Linked DNA regions of Lepisosteus oculatus. Each later gene encodes a partner of the first gene's protein in a complex. Links are inferred from orthologs where the notes say so. Each region holds a gene or a part of one and is shown in the gene's direction. Other genes may lie near its edges.

What was found. Proteins that work in one complex are often made in the same cells at the same time.
Region 2: snrpd2 (region 1) and lsm6 share a complex: the UniProt entries of both Homo sapiens proteins name them as parts of the U4/U6-U5 tri-snRNP complex. The link is inferred for Lepisosteus oculatus from reciprocal best matches to the Homo sapiens genes SNRPD2 and LSM6.

What each region holds. Positions count from the first base shown.
Region 1 is NC_090698.1:1,335,277-1,343,543, reverse strand, and holds the start of snrpd2 (small nuclear ribonucleoprotein Sm D2), read left to right. Parts: upstream 1-5,259; 5' UTR 5,260-5,405; coding exon 5,406-5,407; intron 5,408-6,283; coding exon 6,284-6,463; intron 6,464-8,104; coding exon 8,105-8,267. UniProt on the Homo sapiens protein: Plays a role in pre-mRNA splicing as a core component of the spliceosomal U1, U2, U4 and U5 small nuclear ribonucleoproteins (snRNPs), the building blocks of the spliceosome.
Region 2 is NC_090696.1:27,004,476-27,012,180, reverse strand, and holds the start of lsm6 (U6 snRNA-associated Sm-like protein LSm6), read left to right. Parts: upstream 1-4,598; 5' UTR 4,599-4,709; intron 4,710-5,334; 5' UTR 5,335-5,339; coding exon 5,340-5,433; intron 5,434-6,170; coding exon 6,171-6,284; intron 6,285-7,705. UniProt on the Homo sapiens protein: Plays a role in pre-mRNA splicing as component of the U4/U6-U5 tri-snRNP complex that is involved in spliceosome assembly, and as component of the precatalytic spliceosome (spliceosome B complex).

The sequences.
Region 1 (8,267 bases):
TTTCGTTACAGTAATAACCCCCATCTCTGAACTGGCTTCATCACTCTGTCTCCTCCCCACTGAGAGCTGGTGTGTGGGGAGAGGACTGGAGCATCATCCAGGTGGGGCTGCACACTGGTGGGTGTGGAGGGGATCCCCATGTCCTGTAAAGCGCTTTGAGTGGAGTGTCCAGAAAAGTGCTATTTAAGTGTGAGGATTATTGGTAGTTGTGATTCGCCTCCATGTGTCCAAACAGATTGTCCTGGGCGTGGGAGTGGCCAGAGGCAGCGTGAGGGGCTGAGGTGGTGTGTGAGCGCTGTGGCAGTGCGACCAGCACGCGCCTCGCTGTCCCCTCTTCCTCACGCACTCACGGCACTCCCCCTCTCCCAGGTTAGTGGTTAGCTCTCCCGGGGGCACCATTACATTAATAGGCCTGGCTCAGGTTGCACACGCAGGCAGCCGCTGCAGTCTGCCAGTCATCGAGGAAGGAGAGCGGACAGCAGCTCGGCAGACTTCATCAAGGCTGGTCTGAGCCGTTGGTGTCCAGCTGAGTCCAACTGCCAAATAGATACTGAATGCGCATCTTTTTCTGGAGTGATTTCAAGAGCAGGAGACTTACAATAGATCAACCTACAGTTATAGGAAGTGCTTTGATAACATAAGACAGTTTTAAAAAACAAATTGTGCCTATCTAGCTCACTTGCATGTTAGTAGGTAATTGATCTGAAGTTCTCGTCTAGATGTATCTTGAATGAAGCCAGGGTATTGGATGCTCTCACTAATCTTTGTGCAAAGAAATGTCACCTGTCCTCAGTTGTAAATGCACTTCCTTCGAGTTTGTGCTTGCGTCCTCTAGTTCGTTTTTCCCTGTGGATTCTGAAGAATCCTTAGTGTGAACTCTCCCAATGTCTTTGGGGATGGTGCCCAGGAAATGTCCTTCTTTCACAAACAGGGTGCCAGCAGTTCTGCCTGCAGCAGTATCTCGAGGAGGTGAAAAGCTGAGGCCATCATGTAGCTGACATGCAATGCACCTTTTGTTACCCTGCAAAGAACCCGTGCCTTTTGACACTCTTCCAGCTCCCCAAAAAGAAAAAGACTTTGACACGAACAGGTCGCTCACTTTGTTTTAGAGATAGTGAGATCATAAACTCGCCTCTTCTGTTACAAAGAGGGATGAGGTCATTGTCTGTTTAGGATGAACTTTTTCTCACCTTTTTTTGTCAGAAAGATTTGCAAACAGCACTGAAGAGAAGCACAGGAAGCTAGACGCTGCTGAGGACAGACTTGGCACCCAGTCAACAGGCTGTCAGTTACTGCCTGCAGCTCATTGCTTTATCTGCTGGTGAGCAGCTCAGAGAGCTCTCCGACTCACAGCAAAGTTCTGATGTTGTCAATGTGGCTCTCTGATCTGTCAGAATCGAACGAGAATGGATTCTAGTGGGAGGAAGAAAAACATGGTTATTGACACACTGTGCATCGGCAGAATTTTACAACCACCTGCACTGTCTGCCCAGGGCTGAGAGGTTTCTATAAATGATAGAAGAGAAGGAGATTCACAAAGCACTGAGAGAGAGAGAGTGTGAATGGGAAATGGAGAATGAAAGAGAGAGGGAGAGAGAGGTTGTGGGTGAGCTAAACCCACAAAGTCCCGAGGCTGCAGTAATTTGAGCTGGTCGACAATTAATCATGGTGATAAATAATGAGCTGCTGTCGTACAGAGCTAATTACTCAACACTGTCCTGATGTGGGAGACTGTAAATCATCATCTGACTGGTCTGCAGCCGGATTGCTGTGACGGCGCCTGAGAGCATCTGTTGTGCCCACTGTTCTCCCAAAGGACAGGACAGACCAGCCCATGGGGCCTGGAGAGAGCCAGGACAGGACAGGACAGGACAGGGCCAGGCCAGGCTGGCGCAGCGTGCCGCTGGTTCAGACCTCCAGCACAGGAGAAGAGAGAGACTGCGTTTCCGCTGCTGGCACTAGATACCTAAATCAGGGGTCATGAGTTTGCCTGAATAGCTGTCAGCAATGAAGATAAAAACAGGTTTAATAGCTCGGTACTTCTTAACCTGCCTTTACGTAAGTTAATCTGCTCATAAACACACCCACATTATCAGAAGCCTCCATGAGTAATGTGCTGGAGAAGCTCAACCTGCTCCGGGAGCGGATTCAGAGACTGCAGGAGAACCAGTGGGTGGCGCTGTCGGGGAGAAGATGCCCTACAAGGGAGAACTGGAGCCCCAGTAAAATGACAGATGTGGCCAATTGGCACGGTTTTCCACCTTGCTCTGCCACACCTTCACCCCGATTCTTCAGGCTTCACTGTGATCTCTCTCCCCTGCGGGAAGGAGAAGGAGGCTTGAGTGTGCTGCCCAGCTGTCATATGGACATGAGGGTCTAACAGTGTGTTTGACGCAAAACCTGGGGGAAGGACTCTGCTCCTGGAAAGCTGTGTGATGGATCGCTCAGAAATGGGAATTCCTTTTTTTTGGTCTGAAAGCCGTATGGAAACAAGGCTGCCATTTTTCTGAGGTTGCTGTATCAAGAGACGAAGGCAAACACTAAAGCTGCTGTCTGCTGCACATCGCAAACCCCACACAGGACGCTCTGCACCTGTGGAATTCACTGCCACTGGTGGCTTAAACACCCATCACCTCCCCTCAGCGTCTGCACTCCTGGTCTCACTGGATCAGTCTGTGCTGCTTTACTCCTTTCCTTTGTCGCCGTGCTGTGTTGACCTGGGCTATTGTACGGAGCTTTGAGTTTCTCAACACGTTTGTTCGATAATAATGCACTGGTGGGATTTTGACACGTTGCCAGCTCCACAGCCGCTGGCAGGGTGCCACACGACCTGCAAATGCGACGCAACGTTCCCGGCGCTTCGGGTTTGTAATATTTGCCTGCTGGCTGAATGAAGGATGTGATTCATTCCGGGCCAGCGGAATTCTTACGGACAGCATGGAGGCTCTGCATACACTGGAGGCCTGCAAGGGGTGATGGGAAGAGTGGGAGACACTGAGCTTCCTGGGATCAGTGTCACACACCCCTTGAGCAGTCAGCAGGCTGCCGAAGGGCTCGGAGAGCTCTCATGTGGCTCTTTTTTGATGTCCACTCTACCAGGCCAGTCAGCTGCTCCTGTGGTCGCGCGGTGGTTTTTTGTCTCCTGTGCTGTTCAATGGGATCTTGCAGGCGGTAGCTCTTGCGATGGCTCTGGGCAGCACGGGGAGACCGGAGAGGCGCGCAGTCGGAGACGAGCTCCGCGTTTGAAGAGGGTGAGCGAGGGAGGGGAGGGGAGGCGCTGGGCAGCCCCCCAGGCGCCGGGCTGTCTCGTGCCAGTAAGCCAATCCCCAGCGGCCTCTGCCTGCGCCTTTACAATGGCAGGGCATTCTCCGGCTCCTGAGCCAGCACAGATACCCATCTCCCTCTCCTCTCCGGCTCCCAACAAAGGGACACCTGTGTGTGCGGCCTCGCCCCCTCCCGCTCCAGTCCGCCCCTCCCTCCCTCGCCTGCGCAGTAGGAAGGAGGGGCGCTGTTCTGTTCTACCTTCTCCCCTCTGGACCTCTTGCACGGTCTTGAGCTGTCCATCAGAAACTCTGGGCTCCTCCTCTTATGAAGTCTCCTCTGAGTCTGGGCCTCAGCAATCTGCATCACTCTGGCTGAAGAAGAGTTTCTTATTCTGGATTATTCTAATCTATTTGACCCTATCTTTAGATCTTCTAGTATTTTAAACACCAATTGCATCTGATTTTCCTGTGCTCTAGACTGAAGGGATTTAGTTCCTTGAACACGTCTAGGACAATCCCTTGAGACTAGGAATCATTCTAGTCACTCTTCACTGAGCTCATTCTGCACTGTGATAATGATAACGTTCTTTTGTTCTGTGTGGTGATCAGAACTGAATACATTTTATGAACGCTGAGTGGGTTTTGACATTTCATCAATTGTATTATGCAAGATGAGACCACATGCAGAAGATCAGACATTCTCAGATATCACACACCCACTCGCCCACACGCGCACACAGGGACAGTTACAGACAACAACTCATCCAGCCTGAACATCTCTGAGAGCTGAGAGGAAATGGAAACACCAAAAAAGTGTTTCCTAAAGAGCCATCTCTGTGTGCTGTTGTTTGAGTTAACAATTACGGTTTATATGTCTTGCAGTGTACTGCTTTTGTTTCATTTGGAAGTTGTCTTGCCTACCATAAAATGGAGTGTTTTGGAAATTGTTGAACATATCACAAAATAGGAAACAAATGCATTTATTATTGATGTTGCAAGGAAGCTATAGTTATTTTTATCAAAACTAATCTGTGCACTGTGTACAGCCCTGATACTTATTTTTCTGTTCATCCGTTTTCTGACAGCTTCATCCAATTCAGGATCAGTTGGGACCAGGAAGCAGTAGCACTAGGCAGGGAACACCCTGGACAGGATGCCAGTCCATCACTGAGCCACACAGACAAAATCGTACCAGCCTTGATTTTCCCAGAATCCAATTAACTACCAACGTGTCCTTGGGCTGTGGGAAGAAACGGGATCACCTGGAGTTTACCCTTGCAAACTCCACACAGACAGTACCCCAGGTCTGGAACTGAACCCTGGGGCCCAGCACTGTGAGGGAGCAATACTGACTGTACCACCATAGACAGTGAATTCATCACACACTTCATTACAAAATACTTATTAAACAGTAGAAAGGTTACTAGTTTAGTAAAAAATTGGACAAAATATATTTTATTTAAGTGTCTCCCTAAACATGTGTGTTTTTCATTGTTTTAATGAACATCATTAAAGAAAAACATTTTTTCAAAGTTTTAATGAACATCAAATAACACATATAAGGAGAAAGGGTACCCAAAAAAGTCAAGTGGAAAAAACACAGAACAATATGTTGCCGGAGTTATTTTTCACGTACTTATTGTAATTTAAGTGATATGGCATTCTGGGCTTGTTAGCATTAGAGGAGGGGTAGCATTAGTCCTTTTTGTTTTTGAATGTGATATTTACCTATTATTAACAACATTAAATATAAATATTTTTCGATATTACATATTGAAAAGCATAACATGATAACAAGCTCCTTAAATTTAACATTCACATTATTAATCTAAGATGACTAACAAAGTTTTGCAAGCCTACAGTCTTTAAACGTTGCTGTGGATGACACGCTCTGGGTGACACTCACGGCTCCTGCCAAGTCCGTGCGCGAAGAGACGGGCACCGTGCGCTCGCGAGAGATCGGCCTCCGAACGGAAGTGTGCAGAGCGCCTGCGTGGTAACCCGGAAGCGCTTGTAGAAAGTGGAAGGAGCGGACGGTAGTTCTGTGGACTTGCGCTGGTGGGAAGAGGGGTTGTTTTTTGGCGAATTATTTTCAACACAGTAAACATTTCGTCTTATAATTAACATCGCCAAGTAAAAAACATGTAAGTAAGCAGTAGTTTGTTGTAAATTCAGTCGGGGACGGATGTTAATGTGAACCGCGTCGCCGTGTTTGAAGCCCATGGAGGCGGCCGGCGCCTTTGTTAAAGCTTGCAGCGCGTTTTCGGTCAAGCATCGTGGTTCTCAAATCCCGCGTGGGGTGTTTTCTTTTTAATTTCTTATCATGTAATGCCCACAGTCTTGCATTTCCTCGGCTGTGAATTGACCTACGCGCTACGGTCGTGTGTTTCCTGCATTTAGCAACGGGGCCGAGACTGCTGAGCTCGGAGCACGGTTGTATAGAAATACGGGTGTTCACGGTAGTCGTTTCGCAAACGTAAACTTTAAATAACAGTTTGACTTTAATTGGCTGGGAGCGATCCTCATAATTACTCTCTCCTGGGCTGTATATTCGGCTGCAGGTTTCTACAGTGTCACGGAAGATGCCGTTTGGTAACTAGTAGTGAACAAACACATATCGAACAAACTTTAATACCGGTATGCATACCCTTTTTCTTGCAAAACGGAGTAAAGAAGTCCCAATCTGGAAAATAGAAAATCCCAACAGTTCGCTTGCGGAGCCTTCCTCGTGTGTGAGGGAGGAAGAGGAAAGGAGGATGACTATGGACCAACTGGTTTGTGAAGAGAATAATAAGAGGGCAAGTGAGGAGGTATCCAGAGGAGCGGTAATCTGAGGTTGAAGTCCAGAGAGAAGTCAGGGATGTGTGGAATGTGCCGACCCAGGCGAGAGTTAAACTCACACGCTGGCCCAGATCCCCTCTGGAGCTTTTTTACAGTGCCGGTCTTGCTGTCTCTCTGCCTGGCCGTTAAGTGCAGCGCAGTGCCCCTCTGATCTCTCCCTCTCTCTCTCCCGCGGGCAGGAGTCTGCTGAACAAGCCCAAGTCGGAGATGACCCCCGAGGAGCTGCAGAAGCGCGAGGAGGAGGAGTTCAACACCGGGCCCCTGTCCGTGCTCACCCAGTCGGTCAAAAACAACACGCAGGTGCTCATCAACTGCCGCAACAACAAGAAGCTGCTGGGCCGCGTTAAGGCCTTCGACAGGTACGGGCCGCCGCCGCCCCGTCCCGCACACACCCCCCCATCCCGGCTCCTCCGGGAGGCAGCCGCCAGCCCTTTTGTGTAACTGATGGCTGATTTAAACTAGGATGGCCAGCAGCTCTATCACCCTGCAGCTCCCCGCTGGCAGCCCGCTGAAGCTCAGCAGTGTCATCCTGGTCAGTACCTGGATGGGAGACTCCGGGGAAAAACTGTTTACTGCCGGAAGAGGTTGGACCAGTAGGGGGCGCTCACCCTGCGGTCCATGTGGGTCCTAATGCCCCAGTATAGTGACAGGGACACTATACTGTAAAAAAGGCGCCATCCTTCAGATGAATAAAACCGAGGTCCTGACTCTCTGTGGTCATTAAAGATCCCAGGGTGTTTCCCCGGCGTTCTGGACAAATTTTCCATTTATTCTGTGATGCCGAATCAGTCAGGATGGTTATTATTGACTGCTGGCTTGATAGCATAGATAACAGACCTCCTTGGGCTCCTGGCACTCCCAGGCAGAGGTGCCTGTGTCCCATCGCGCCTGTTGCTGAAATAAGAAGGCACCCTGTTGTTATTTTCTGCCCTAGTTCAGGGAGTCACAGGCAGCTGTGGTAATAACCTTTCCCTTGGAAGACGGTCGTGTCTTTTATTTCCCTCGCTGATGTAACTCAGTGGCTCCTAGCCCTGGAGGAGAAATACCCCCTCCTTGCTTGCATTTATACCCTGCTGTAAGTTTAACCTTATACGGTTGTATGCAAACATCTGGGCGCCCCAGGCCACATTACGTGTTTTGTTCATTTTCTAAGTGAAAATAAGTTAACAAAACCTCTGCAGCGAACAAACTTAAACTCGACATATTTCTGCTGATTTCAGTGCAGTCACTATTTACTTGCTGAATTTAACAGATTGGAAAAATAAAACCGTGAATTGAACCTAATTGACTCGTTAATCTAAGTCAGGTGGTGACAATTCCAGAGCTTAATAAATTCTGACTCTTCAAACCTCTCAGGGTGTTGTGCTGTATTTAGCAAACCAAATCCTCCACAATTTTACTACCAAACTATTGCATGCCTGTTGCTGGAATTAACTATATGGTATATATTTTATTTTATGGTTTATTTTTTGTTGTTATAAAGCACGTTAGGAATAAGTCCTCATTGTCCAGTTGCTTAAAATCCAAACACCTGAATGCTTATGAGTTGTTGATGCTGAGGAAGAGCTCAGGTGGGCTGATACCAGAGGAGATGGGTCTGAGTTTATTAACTGGAACAAAATCATCCTCCAGTCCTCAGTGTGTTGTAAGTGTACATTGGATTAAGATTATTTGGTCAACAACAAACTGGAAAAGATTGATATTCCCCACTGAGAAATTATTGTAATTTGATCCTTTTTCTTTGGAGAAAGGGGAATTTGTCCCAAGGCCTGTAGCTGGCGTGAGGAGAGCGTCTCATGTGGACATTACTTATCAGCTTACCAACGTGCTCCTGCTGGTTTGCAAGGTCACACCGCACGCGACCAGGCCCGCATGATGGACACTGAAACCAGACTCGTGTTCTCCTGGCGTCCGGGGGGGTGGAGGGACCAGCATCTCCGAAGCCCCCGGGAGAGCGCCTCATCCGCACTGACCCCCGTCTCTCCTCTCCCCCCTCGCAGGCACTGCAACATGGTGCTGGAGAACGTGAAGGAGATGTGGACCGAGGTTCCGAAGAGCGGCAAGGGAAAGAAGAAGTCCAAGCCCGTTAACAAGGACCGCTACATTTCCAAGATGTTCCTGCGGGGTGATTCGGTCATCGTGGTGCTGAGGAACCCCCTCATC
Region 2 (7,705 bases), on another chromosome or scaffold:
ACTATGAAGGGCAGAGAGAAGAAGCATTTATTCATTTTTCTTTTGTCTTCAATATGAGGCAGGTTTAAGATACAAAATGTAAAAAAAAAGAAATGTAAAAGAGAATTTGAATACACGTGCACAAAGAGGAAAAGACATTGCGAGCTCTGGTGTTACAATGTCTTGAGTGCTGTAAAAGTACAAACAAATAGATCTATTTAATAGAAAATTAGGTGTTTTTTACACTGTTCACATTTAATATAATACTGATGTGTGTATGAGACTCCCTTTACCTTACATTCTAAAAAGAAAAGGGGCTTTGAAAATGCTACAGTAATAACATTTGTACAGTAACTCTCTGCCATTGGGGCTTTGTCGCCTTTATATAAAGAATGTTATTTCCCAGGACCCTTGGGAACTGGCAAGAGTCTTACCTTAGGACATGAGCCCTCAAAATAATATCCCTGATGATGACGGATTCCAAAATAGACTTGGTTAGGAAAGAGAGGCAAAAATCTGAGCATGAAGGTTTCCCGCTGATCCATGTAGAACTAACATTCTTCCCTATAACCAGCAGTGCCTACGGCTTCAACCACTATCAATACCAATACAATTGAAAAAAAAATTAGAATGTCACTTCTTAAATGCTCCCCATTTAATATTGCCATTAGCGGAAAAGCTTGATACCGCAAATTGTGTACTGCAGTAAGCTTTTCTGACATACCAGTGTTGGTACAGATGTGCATGCTACAGTACTTCAGAGAGACATTGTAAATTGCCTTAATAACCTGAGACAAAAATATTTATTTGTATTTATCATAAAGCATACAAAATCTGTGAAACCTTGCTGTAAATAGAAATTGTTATGGATTCTGAACACTTTACACCAGATAATAATGTTTAAGGTTATACTGATGAACAAAAGAGCAATAAGTTCATATTCCACATAGCAATATCACAAAAATCAAATTCAAACATAGCTATTATTTCTACAAAAGACAGTGCTACAGTACGTGCACCTGGCAGTTAACATGTACACTTACAAACACACATTACAATGGTATTTACATGTATATAACCATTATGACTCTTTATTAAATCACCTTAAATGAATCCAGTCTGTTTTTTGGTTCAGTGGTGCATAAATAATGCTCTAACCTCCAGGAGTCATTATTAATAATGGTCTAACCTCTAGGAGTCACTATTGTACTTTTTACTTAAGCCATTGCTGTCCTACACACACATGGACATACTGAAAAAAACACAAGACATTCAAACAGATATTTGAGACTTGAACTTTCTGGATCTCAGCATTCAACACTATTCTCAAATGGCAAACTGAAAAGGAGAGCTGAGGTGGCAGGGACAAGAGTGGTCTGATTGGTGTGATTCAGGGCTGTGGTGTTGCAGATAGGCTTTACCAGCTGGAGTCCTCATTGAGAAGCCAAAACTTACAAGGCATTGGGCACCGACAGCTCAAATGTAGGGAAAGGATTCCCTTCTGTGATAGTTAAGGAAGTGGGGGATGAGCAAGACAACACTCACCAATTTTTACCGTAATACGATTGAGTCCTGACTGGTGGTATTACGGTTTGGTATGGTGGAGCTACAGTACAGGACAGAAAAGCCATACAGAGGGTTGTGAAGTCCGCGCAGAAAATCACTGGTACCAAGCTACCCTCCATCGACCAGATATATCTCTTCCACTGCCACAACCGGGTTCGAGCTTTAATTTGGGACCCAATTCACCCTGGCCATGATCTGTTTTCACTCCTGGGTTCTGGTAGGAGGTATTTCTTTCCCCAAGTAGTCCGCATCATAAACAGCTCAAATTAGCACCTGCACATATTAGCACCTGCACTTTAAGGTACTGCACTGTTTGCACTATGTCCCGTAGGCTATATTCTAATGTCTATTGTCTACATTTATTGTCCATGTCTGTATGGCATTTGTGCCTATTTTTTCTCTCTCTAATGTTATAGCTGAACAAGTAAGCATTCCAATACACTTGTGGTATGTGGCAAATAAAGAAATCTTGAATCTTGCATCTTCTCATAACTGCCAGGCAATATATGTCAACCTTGTCCATTTGTTCATTCATGCTGTTCATCTTGGCGGTGGGGTAGCTCTGTGGCTAAGGATCTGCGCCTGTGGCTGGAAGGTTGCTGGTTTGTATCCCGCAGCTGGCAGAGGAATCCTACTCTGTTGGGCCCCTGAGCAAAGTCCTTAACCCCTACTGCTCCAGGGGCACTATATACAGTAAATGGCTGACCCCGTGCTCTGACCCCAAGCTTCTCTCCCTGTCTGCCTCTCTCATGGAGAGCAAGTTGGGGTATGTGAAAAGACTAATTCCTAATACAAGAAATTGTATATGACCAATAAAGTTATCGTAGCGTATCTATTTTCTATCCAACACAAGGAGATGGGTGATTCAGAACCTATCCCAACAAGCACCAGGCACAAGGCAGAATACACACTGAACAGATGCCAATCGATCACAGTGCACACAGACACAAACACAAGCACAAGCTCCCAGCAGGGACAATTTTTCCAGAAGCAAATTCACCTACCAGTATGTTTTTGGACTGTAGAAGAAAAGCAGAGCACCTAAAGAAAACACTCATGAAGAGAGAACATACAAACACCATACAGATAGCAATGCTAACCACTGTGCCACCCATGCCAATGTTGTTTGTACTTGAATTGATTTTTGTATATAAACCAATGGCTGTCTCCTTTTAGAGTGTGGGTTTACAGTGGAGGATTATTTATTCCATTCACAGATGCAGATTTAAGAAAAGATTTGGGCTTTAAGCAATTGCCTATTTACTGTTTTTCTCAAGCTTCCCATTGTCCATGAGAATATGGAAGAGGCCTATTGACCTTGCTCAGTAACTTCTAGAGTTTATGCTTAGCTCCAATAATTTGTTTGAACCCAAGCTGGTGCCAAAACTGTCTAATATATAACTTTTACTGTATTATCAATTAAAACCCCCTCACAAGCAAAACATGAGACATCAAGATATGTCATTTTTCAAGCCTCTCATAGCTGCATTTGTGCTCTGCATTCCTCTGCTGGAATTTGATCATGGTTGCTCATTGGCTTAGGGTATAGACAGAGCCACCCTCTGGACATCAGCAGATATTGCTACACCACAGGGTGGGCCTTCTGCTGCAGAAGAGTTCTGCATTGTCTGGAGTTCAAGTAGATGACTTAGCATAGAACAGTTATAGACAAGAGGCTTTATGGCCCACCTAGTCCATTTGGCAGGGTAGTTAATCCAAGAGCGTCATCTTCTCAAACAGACTTCAGTGCCACTGAACCATCCATGTTCTAAACCAGTATTATCTTAACCATCATTTTGTTATCCAGTACAGGGTCATAAGGAAATCCAGAGCCTTATACACCCTGGATGGGACACTAGTCCATCACACACAGGGCAGACACAGACTAAAACACACATACTCACGCCAATTAATTCTTCCAGTATGTCTTTGAACTGTGGGAGGAAACCATAGCATCCAGAGGAAACTGAAGGGAACACAGGGAGGACACACCAACTCCATGCAGAGAGCACCTGTGCCCCAGCGCCACAAAGCAACAAAGCTAACCATTGCACCACCCTTCCACCCTTTACACCTACAACAAATATGATTTTATGAACCCATTTCTACATGAAAGTTATATTAAACTTTCTTGATGTAAAAAATACAGCTTATACAGCTTTATCTCTGGAGGAAAGGCATGATTAAAATACACATATGCAAGTATGGTGATCTGTTATTAAAACTACAGTATTAAGATAAAGATCAACATCAAATTTCTTAAAATGTCCCATGCAGTTAATAAGAACATTTAAAATCCAAGATTGTCTTCCCCTCAATGTGGTCTGATACAGTGACATGTAAATGCTCACTTCTTTACCTGAACTGCTGCGAATCATAGCTGTCAGGTGTCATCCATGTAGGTGCTGCCCTACAGTGGTAGATGGTTTAAGTGGGTCATTAAAGCACTTTGGGATCATTTGAGACAAAAAAAAAATCATATGCAGTATAAATGTAACGAATTTTCATTCCATGAAAGTTTTAGAGGATACCGGTACTAAACAGCTGAAAGGGCAAATGTAATGCAGTTAAACAAATGGTATCAAGGCACTGCTCATTGTATTAAAAAATCTTCCTAAATGCATTATTAAGAATTATTTAAGTTAGATATCTTTAGGTTAGGTTTAGTAAACCATTTTACCCTAAATACCCCTTAATCTTATCTGCAACCTGGAAAGAAGCACGCTGTAATATGTACTGTAACTTTGTGATTAGTCCTAAACATAAAGCCTTTGCCGGTTCCTTCAGCGTTCAACGTTTTTCTGCTGTTTTCAATAGTATGTCTTGTTTCATTCTACCAAAACCCACAGCCAGAGTTGCACAAAATACCATATAACTCACTCCAGCACATAAGGATTACAGTACGAATACTAGAAATGGCGTTTTGCCAAACCAGATTTGTTTGAATTGTACTTTCTATCAGGAGCGTCATAGCTCGCCAGAAAAGCCTTTTCCAATAGTTTTTTCAGTGTCGTGGTTGGAGTCCGAAGATTAACTTCGACTTTGCGTTACTCGGAGAATGTGTTTCCCTTTGCGGCTGCCGTAGAAAACCCGAGCGTATAAATCGGCTATTGGCTCCATCGCTCTCTTAGAGTTTTGAGATAAATCGTGTTTGAAACGAAACGGTAAGTTTTAATTGTGTGTGTATTTAGCCCGGTATTATTAATATGTGGAGTTTAGGTGACGTTTATAAGTGATGTGCAGCTTTACTACAAACATTTTTCAAGGGGTTAAGAGCAGTTTTCGGTATTGTATGTGGAGCGAAGGCCTTTTCCTGACGAATTTTATTGTAGCGATAGAGCATGCAGGAATGGTTATGTCGAATGTTATTTTATACATTTCTGATAGCTATCGCCGTCATATTTTAAAAAAAAAGCTCTTGAACTCTCTCTTGGTTCGTAATACTATCGATTTTAAGTTTACTCTAATTACGAAGCTTAAAATGATGCTCTTTCTGTATAGTTAGTTTTTAAGCTGGGTTGTGTGTTTTACTTAAATGCTAGTCCTACTGTAATATACACCTGCCGACGCAGTTACATTAATTGTGCTAGAATAGGAGGCTTCATTGCTGTTGTCAATCAAATGAGCTTGCTGCGTTTGTGCTTGTGTAGTTAATCTCTACGTTTTGAATGTATCGGTATATACTACTTCTGTACTGTTCCAAGTAGTTATCCTACAATATATCGTTGTTTTGTAATGTCGTTCTACCATTACCGTCCTGTCTAATAACTTTATGACGTGCCTCGCCAGCCGACATGAGTCTCCGGAAGCAAACCCCTAGTGATTTTCTGAAACAAATCATCGGAAGACCAGTAGTGGTGAAACTGAACTCTGGTGTCGATTACAGAGGTAAGACTTGGGTAACTTTTGGAGTTGGAGTATCCAGTCATCTTTAAACCACGGCCATACACATTTGGTACAATAGGAAGCATTTACTTTAATAAGTGAGAGCACATCCTTCCGCTGTTGAATAGTGGCCACATAAATGCCCAGTCGGAGCTCTGGTTCCACTCTTTCACAAGTGGAGTATGAGTCATTCTTGTACTAGTTTGAAACTGCTCTAAAGTACAACCTTGATTAAGGCTTTTCAGCTGAGGCACTGTGAGACACTGAACTACTCTCTGGATGTTCCTTTGCATCTTTCAAAACTGGTGCATAGCAACCCCCACATCCAAAATAAAATTAAATCGAGAATGGCAATGAGACACCCCCACGCCCAGTAAATGAGCTGCAGATGTGGAAATAACATGCTTCTTGATGCGTTCTTGACCAGTTCATGTTGGGGTGTGGGTACTGCCATTCCAAATAGATGTTGCACAGCATGTTGTGGTATGTCCTGAAGTGTCTTGGGTATGGTCCATTGGTACTGGCAGTATCTGCTGTGACAGTTTTAAAATAAAGCCTCGTACTGTATCAGTTCTCCAGTCTAGCAGGAGACTGTAGTGGTGAATTGGACTGAATAACATTCGATTAGTCTGTTGGAATTTGTTTTAATTTTAAGGCTTTAAAAGGCAGTGTGCTTCTTGGATAAAGTGAGAAGGGAACTGTGGCATTACTTAATGAGCCTTTCCACTGTCTATGTGCAGGAGTCTTGGCCTGTCTGGATGGCTACATGAACATTGCTGTGGAACAGACAGAGGAGTATGTCAATGGGCAGCTGAAGAATAAGTATGGAGATGCTTTCCTGCGGGGAAACAATGGTAGGTTGGCCTTTTTCACTTTTTTTGTAGCATTTTCATAGGTGAGGTGGAGCAAGAATATGCAACAAGCTGGTCTTAGTAGTCGTGCCAACATAGATTATAAATGGTTTTTATCATTTCTATAATGGCAGCTATATCACAGCTCACAACTGGTAACCCACTGAAGCTCAGCAGGTGTGAGCCTGGCCAGTACCTGGATGGGAGGCCTCCTGGGAAAAGCTAAGGTCGCTGCTGGAAGAGGTGTTAGTGGGACCACTAGGTAGCTCTTGCACCTGTGGTCTCTGTGGCTCCTAAAGTCCCACTTACGGTATAGTGATGGGGACACTATACTGTAAAAAAGATGCAATCCTTCAGGTGAGATACAAAACCGAGGCCCCGACAGTCCATTGTCATTAAAAATCTCTGGGCATATCTCAAAAAGAGTAGTCCATATTTCCCCCTGGCCTTTACCAATCTTGGCCTCCCAGTAATCCGCATCTATGCTTTGGTTTTATCACTCTGTTCTCCCCACTGATAGCTGGTGTATGGTGAACATATTGGTACTCTTTGCCTGCCATTGTATCATCCAGGTGGTGGTGGTGGAGGGGAGTCCCCATTAGCTGTAAAGTGCTTTTGAGTGGAGTGTCTAGAAAAGTTATACAAGTATAAGGAATTAACTGTCTTTTCTATTTACTTTTATATCTAGCCATCTGTAGCATAACTTATTTGTATTAGTTTCCGATTTCAGTAGGATTTTGTAATGAACTACATCACTTGCAATGTATACTATAGTGTTGTCTTTGACATTGTGGTGCTTTAAGATGCATAATCAAGAATCATGCCATAAATAATCAAGTATGTTGACATGTATCAAGGCAACTGCTAAATCGTTTAAAATCATTTTGCAGAGATTGTTCCGAAAAATGCAGAATCCACTAGACAAAAAATGGCAAATCGTTAATTTGTTGCTTTAACGGAATACTAATGTTTAGTAGATTATTGTGAATATCATGATGGCAGCATTCCCAACTGACTTGTATATCTTGTCAGATCTCAGAGACAAAGCTGGGCTGGGCCTGGTCATTCCTTGAATTGGAGACATTCCTTGCTGCTGTCTTGTAGCAGCCAATAATGACAGCTCTGTAGTTCAAAACCAGTTTCCCCAGTGTGGTTATGGAGCACTTGGTCATTAACTGTCCCATGGGGCAGAGAAGAGGTTTTAAGCTTCTACGATTTTGCCCTCTCTAGATTTTCTCATTAATTCAGTTGAAGTCATTTCTCTGTTCCCCATTTGTTCTGCATCGTCCAGGTGGGTGCTGCTCTTAAGATATGGGTGAATTGGGTCTCTTTCCATAGGTTAAGCTCTTTTGGAGGAAAAGGACTATACCCATGCAAGGAATTAATGAATATTTGTTTTCCTTCAGCCTACTTAAGTGTCATTT